2 linked regions of the Xenopus tropicalis genome follow. The protein of the gene in region 2 interacts with the protein of the main gene of each other region in a biochemical or structural test. Links are inferred from orthologs where the notes say so. Each region holds a gene or a part of one and is shown on either strand. Other genes may lie near its edges.

Evidence for each region.
Region 1: the proteins of rps6ka3 (region 2) and pea15 form a complex in vitro, tested with the Homo sapiens proteins (2 studies listed by BioGRID). The link is inferred for Xenopus tropicalis from reciprocal best matches to the Homo sapiens genes RPS6KA3 and PEA15.

The regions. Positions count from the first base shown.
Region 1 is NC_030684.2:138,138,427-138,142,354, reverse strand, and holds the start of pea15 (astrocytic phosphoprotein PEA-15), read right to left. Parts: upstream 2,474-3,928; 5' UTR 2,256-2,473; intron 1-2,255. UniProt on the Homo sapiens protein: Blocks Ras-mediated inhibition of integrin activation and modulates the ERK MAP kinase cascade. Inhibits RPS6KA3 activities by retaining it in the cytoplasm. Inhibits both TNFRSF6- and TNFRSF1A-mediated CASP8 activity and apoptosis.
Region 2 is NC_030678.2:43,794,563-43,797,615, forward strand, and holds part of rps6ka3 (ribosomal protein S6 kinase alpha-3), read right to left. Parts: intron 2,679-3,053; coding exon 2,602-2,678; intron 2,406-2,601; coding exon 2,288-2,405; intron 1,747-2,287; coding exon 1,606-1,746; intron 868-1,605; coding exon 742-867; 3' UTR 1-741. UniProt on the Homo sapiens protein: Serine/threonine-protein kinase that acts downstream of ERK (MAPK1/ERK2 and MAPK3/ERK1) signaling and mediates mitogenic and stress-induced activation of the transcription factors CREB1, ETV1/ER81 and NR4A1/NUR77, regulates translation through RPS6 and EIF4B phosphorylation, and mediates cellular proliferation, survival, and differentiation by modulating mTOR signaling and repressing pro-apoptotic function of BAD and DAPK1.

The sequences.
Region 1 (3,928 bases), on a different chromosome or scaffold from region 2:
AGGGGAATTTATTCTCCATTTGATTAATACACAGGGATGAGGCCGGAGTGGATTAGGGCAATATTAACTGTAATCGCCGCCAGTTCCGACTACTGGGGAATTGTACTAAATGCACTGGAACGTAGGGAAATATCCCACAGGCTGCGCCGAGGCACGGACTGACCCCGAGAGCTGCAGATAAAGCAGATGTTATGGGGGGTGGGGGAGCAGCTTAGCCGGGGACACGTCTGATTGGGGATTCTATCTATTCCATTGCTGTTATGGGAGCTTTAAATGAGAACATGTTTATCACTTGGGTGGGATAAGGGGGTCCGCTCCTCCCACCTGTAGTATAGGAAGAACTAATAAGTATAATTCACAGATAGCAGGGCAGGCAGTAACCCTTCCAACACTTTCCCCTGTCTCTGCCCCTATATATTAGGTACCTACCTAGTGCTACCAACCCCTATTTCTGTAGGGAAATGAGAGCAGGGCAGGCAGTAACCCTTCCAACACTTTCCCCTGTCTCTGCCCCTATATATTAGGTACCTACCTAGTGCTACCAACCCCTATTTCTGTAGGGGAATGAGAGCAGAGCAGGCAGTAACCCTTCCAACACTTTCCCCTGTCTCTGCCCCTATATATTAGGTACCTACCTAGTGCTACCAACCCCTATTTCTGTAGGGGAATGAGAGCAGAGCAGGCAGTAACCCTTCCAACACTTTCCCCTTCCCTACATTCCTGCTGCATTATAGTGGCCCCTAGCAGTGCTCTTGCGCTCAGTCGGAGCGTTTGATTTCCTGTCGCTCGGCATTACACGGTTTCCTAATACCCACTGCCTGAGGCCGCAGGGGATAGAGATAATCAATGCGCTGCCTTCGCGTATCGCGGGCTAGAACGCCGCCAGGAGAGGGCAGGCAGAGGTTTTTTGACAGAAGAGTTTACGTTCCTCCACGTGCCGTAAGGAATATCGATTCTATGTACAGTAGAACCCCCATTTTACGTCCCTGAATGCGTTTTTCACTGATTTAAGTTTTTGGGAATTTACGGAATTTTGACGCGACCCCTGAAAAACGTCTGGGTAAATGCACAGCAATGAGAGCAGAATAAATGCTGGGGATGCTGGGAAATGTAGTCCTAATATCACCATTTAGTGTATTGTAGTAGCATTAACTGTATATAACATGCACTCATTAATCTCATACATATATCTTTTTTCAATGGGGGTATCCAGATTCCCCCAGTAATTGCTGAACTCCCGCTGTACTATTCCAATGCCTGGGAGTTGTAGTTCAGCCGTGCAGCCTATCCTATATGCCCTTAATGCTGTATTACAGGTTTAGCTATGCTGCCTTCCCATAAGGTCAGGGTGGGGGAAGTACAATTATCAGTATTGGATGTACAGCAGTGCAACTTTCCCTTTAAAAGGGGTAGATGTGGGGTTAGTTACCCCCTTCCCCATGTAATGGGAATCGAACCGTTGCCACCGGGCGGAGATGGCACAGTGAAGGGAAGGGTGGATATCCTTACTATGTTTTACTGGCCCAGGGAGCTGGGGGTTAAATGCAGCACTAACCCTTTGAATGCCAGGGGCTGAGCCAATAATCTGGGGGTTTAACATTATCCGGCACACCCCTCCGGCACTGTTTCAGCTACTGGCTTACTGGGGTGGGGGCTGCTACTTCCGCAAGGGTTTGGGAACTAATTAGCCATTGGGGGGGGGGGGGTTAAAGTCATTCACAAGTCAGGGGAAAAGCAGCTGAAGTTCTGAAGATCCAAATCCCACCCAGAACCGCTGGCCGATTCCGGCACGGTGCCTGCTGGATGCCGGCTGTGCTGCCCCGCTGAATGGGCAGATCCAATGGGGAGCTACGGGCAGGAATGTGGATGGGTGTGGGCATGGACCCCAGCTGCATACTCTAAGGATCTGTCCAACAAAGTCTTTTCCATCAATCCAGCAAGCAGGGATGGGGAGAGTGGGGCTCCTGAGTCTGGGGCCCCTGAGTAAGGGAGGGGCAGTGAGTGGAATACAGCTGTTGGTGGGGCCCCCCCAGATGCCCTTTCTGCCCTACCCTAAACTATCCCTGCACAAACTTCAGCTGCCGGAATCCCATCCCGGGATAAGTAGTGACAGCCATGCAACTGGTCTATTTGTAAGGACTTCCAGCTGTTGGGCACAGCAACTACTCCCTGCAGCCACTCCCTTCCTGTGAGTCCCACATCCTATCCACCCCCCCCCCCACCCCAAAAACACAATCACACCCATCATGTCTTACCGTATCCTTCAGCTCAAGCCTTAGACTCTGGTCCTGGGTACCCCAGATGGATGGCAAAGCTCCTGTGGCCCCCCTAGAGCCCCTTCTGTGCCACTGTCTCCACTCAGTGCCCAGGGATGGGGTGCCTTGCGCCCGACTGCCACTTAGTCCCTGTGTGGATGTGACTCAGCTGACAGCCAGGCTCCGCTTCCCTCTATGAGCAGAGAATTTCCCTTCCCCTTCACAGACCCAACTGATTCCAATGCTTTCTCACTCCACCCTTTGTACTGAGTGATGTCAGAGAGAGAGTGTGTGCGAGTGTGCGAGAGAGTGTGTGAGTGTGCGAGAGCGCCCCTGAGCTCTGTATTATTCAGCACACGGAGAGAATGAATAGCAGCATCTACACAGAGGAAGTGTGTAATTTGGAGGGGGGGGGGTGTTTGCTTGGTTTGTCCGGCGTAAATAAATTGATGGAATGCTGCATGAGTCGGAACTTTCACTGTAGGGAATATTCTACTGCCAGCTGCTGGGTTACTGGGTGCCATCTGGCCATCTCCAGCCTATACACGGTGTGCTACTGGCATGTAAGTGCTCAGGGGCCGGCACCTACTACTATCCAACAGATTCACATACTGATTATACATTATCCCTGCCCCAGTGAGCTTACAATCTAAGGTCCCTATCACATTCCCATCAGTCCCTGCCCCAGTGAGCTTACAATCTAAGGTCCCTATCACATTCCCATCAGTCCCTGCCCCAGTGAGCTTACAATCTAAGGTCCCTATCCCAGTGAGCTTACAATCTAAGGTCCCTATCACATTCCCATCAGTCCCTGCCCCAGTGAGCTTACAATCTAAGGTCCCTATCACATTCCCATCAGTCCCTGCCCCAGTGAGCTTACAATCTAAGGTCCCTATCCCAGTGAGCTTACAATCTAAGGTCCCTATCACATTCCCATCAGTCCCTGCCCCAGTGAGCTTACAATCTAAGGTCCCTATCACATTCCCATCAGTCCCTGCCCCAGTGAGCTTACAATCTAAGGTCCCTATCCCATTCCCATCAGTCCCTGCCCCAGTGAGCTTACAATCTAAGGTCCCTATCACATTCCCATCAGCCCCTGCCCCAGTGAGCTTACAATCTAAGGTCCCTATCACATTCCCATCAGTCCCTGCCCCAGTGAACTTACAATCTAAGGTCCCTATCACATTCCCATCAGTCCCTGCCCCAGTGAGCTTACAATGTAAGGTCCCTATCCCATTCCCATCAGTCCCTGCCCCAGTGAGCTTACAATCTAAGGTCCCTATCACATTCCCTTCAGTCCCTGCCCCAGTGAGCTTACAATCTAAGGTCCCTATCACATTCCCATCAGTCCCTGCCCCAGTGAGCTTACAATCTAAGGTCCCTATCCCAGTGAGCTTACAATCTAAGGTCCCTATCACATTCCCATCAGTCCCTGCCCCAGTGAGCTTACAATCTAAGGTCCCTATCCCATTCCCATCAGTCCCTGCCCCAGTGAGCTTACAATCTAAGGTCCCTATCACATTCCCATCAGCCCCTGCCCCAGTGAGCTTACAATCTAAGGTCCCTATCCCATTCCCATCAGTCCCTGCCCCAGTGAGCTTACAATCTAAGGTCCCTATCCCATCAGCCCCTGCCCCAGTGAGCTTACAATCTAAGGTCCCTATCACATTCCC
Region 2 (3,053 bases):
AGTACTGCTTGCTGGAGGCATAATGCTTGAACTTATTGCAGTTTGAAAGCTATTACGGCGGTCATCCCACAGTAACAGTTCTTGTTGCTCATCTAGGTTGTGATACATTCATGAGAAATTCCACAGTTGTATTTTACAGAGAAGTCCACACAATCATTCCATGGCTATATCTTATTCTGTATTAAGACAAGGCAAAGATGATCTAAAAAGAAGAATAAAAAACACAAAATGTGGGGAAGGGTAGATTGGCAAGACGTTGAATCTATCCAGCAATGCCAGAAGCAACGGCAGAAGGCTGAGTGGCATGTTTTATCCATCGCTTTAAAGAACAAAGAGCTGAAAGTATGCAAGTGCTCAAATAAAAAGTGAACCTAGAACCCGTTATTTTGGAGGACTACGAATACTTATATAAAAATAATGCTGTTCACCGTTGAGATATTTTTGTGTTTTGTATCATTTTCAGTGTATTCTTCAGTTTGAGAGGTGAAGAGTCTATTGGATTCACCCAAGGACAGTTCCATTGTACAGATGACAAAGTCCTGGCATGGTTGGATGGGTTTTTCCATCACTTAACTACTGAGAACAGACAGAAGCAGCAGCATTGATTATGAGAGCCGGCAGAGACAGTGAGCATTTGCTTGCCGGAGTGTCTTTAGGATATGTGCTATCACTGTTGGCTTTAATATTTTTTTTGTGCTGTGAATCTTCAGCTCCAGGCTGCTCTTACAGATGACTTGACTTTCACAGGGCAGTGGAGGTGATCTTCTTTATACCTCTCCTCTGAGCCAGAGTTGAACGACCAACGGGTTCCAGAACGGGAGACAATGGATTAAGGTTCAAAGCAGAGTAAGTTGCTGCCATGGCTCCCTGCATTAAACAACACAAAGGTGTGAGGGCAAGTTAAGAAATGTAATTTTTGCACACTGCCTTCCTAGATTAAACAAATTCCGAATGCCCCTGTGCTCCAAAACTGTTCGGCATTACTGTATTCATAAGGGGCTGGGGCAGTGCAGCTTCTGTGCTCTTTCACTTCTTCCCTGGTCCCTGTAATTTACCCTGAAAACATTTACTATTTTGCTGTACTTTTTATTCCAAAAGGGGTAGCCATTTATTTTAGTGTTGGCATAATACAGAATGTAATGCTTTATAAATACACAATTCTGTATCCCCAAAATGTTGAAATGCGGCGAAATAAAAATTACATTCTGCTAAATACTATTTTATGATTTTCTTTATATGGTTCATATTGCCAGATACTGTCCATGTGTATATAATGGATTCATTCTATGCACTTGGACAGCTGCCCTGGGATTAATAGAAAGTATCCACAAGCAAGTTCAAGTTTTGCAAGTGCAAAGTTAAAATAGCAGTATTCATTAATGATATAAACAAATATATTATGCCAATATATTAGGCACCCCTCCCAGTGATTAGAATCTCCTGCCTAAAACCCCAGGCCAGTGCCCTGGTTTGCTAAAAACGGAACTGGCCCTTGGTACTTCTATAAAAGCTCATCACTGCCATTTTCTTCCGCTTCTTAGAAACTAAGGTTTGGCACCCCACCTTTCCTTAGGCTGGTCTAGAAGAATAAATACACTACATTACCTTTACTAGGTGTGGAGCATCTTGTCTGTTTAGCTGAAACTGAGGCAGCTGGTCACAGTGTACTATCCAGGGGTGCTTGAGTACTTGGGCTGCAGTTAACCTTTGATGTGGATCCACATGAAGCATCTTTGAAACTAGGTCCTATGGTAGTGCATAAAAATATATTTAGCAGCCTTTCTAAACAGTTATTAAACAAAATGAGCATCTTTAGAATTGATCATGAGATAGGATATGAAGCTCGCTTTATATGAAGCCACTGCCCTCTCAGGGAACCCAGAGTGGACAAAACACCAACACAACACAACAGAGCTTGGCACAATATACTGATCTGTAAATAGTGTAAAAACACTAAAATGCAGCTGTCCCTATTATACCTATTTATCAGGACTATCCCACTATAAAGCAGAAATAATTCTGTCTCCTCATACTATTAATATTATTTGAGTGAATGGCACTTCAAATGCAATTACCCCACTTTAAAAGATGGAAGCCAGTATCCAAACAGCACCAGAAGTCACTGCGCACCAGCCAAATAAGCACCTTATTGTTATGAGTGGCAACAATCTTAATGCTGACTCAGTGGGACAAAGCAAGTCTGGGAGATTGCTGTATAATGATGCAACAAACTGCAGAAAAGCAGCAGATAAGGAATACTGAGTAACTGATCTGCACACAAACTGACCTTGGCAATATCTGAAACAGAATTCCAATAGCCACCACTTAGAGAGAACTTTCCACTTCCTATTCTTGCTAGGATTTCTTCTGGTGTATCATCTGGCCCATTTGCAAAAGGAGTGTATCTGAAATATGAGAAAAATATACAGTATTACAAATAGCAGTAACCACACATTATATTTTATTTTTAATGGGTTCAAGAGCAGGTAACTGAACTGGGCAGAGCCTGCACTCATTGATCAGTATAACCTAGTGTTAAGTCTATTATGTATATTTCTGTATATGCCCCTGATGAAAGGTTTAAGCATCATGTTAACTTACCCTGTCAGCATAGTATAAAGTAGTACACCCAGACTCCATATGTCGCATGCTGCATCATAGCCTTGGCGCTTTAATACCTGAAAAAATTAGAGAAGAATATAAAATTAAGCCTAAGTATTTTAAAGTATTTATTCACAGTTCAACAATCAAATTTCATGGATGAGGTATGTAGCATTGGCTACAAGAAGCTATTAGTGCTTGTAAATGACTTGTCCTGTTTATGGCATGCTCATGGTATGTTTAGTGACAGAATTTCTGATAAATGTGAAAGAAGTATTTCACATCACTTTGTGCCTGGAAGGATTTCTGTTTAATGCAGGCAAGATGCTTGACAGTGAGAATATCGTGTACATTTTCCACCCTGTTGTCAAATACAGACTTTACTGACAAAATGGTTACAGTTTACGCCTTTTTTCTTAATGTCTGGGTGGCATATGTTAATAGGGGATACT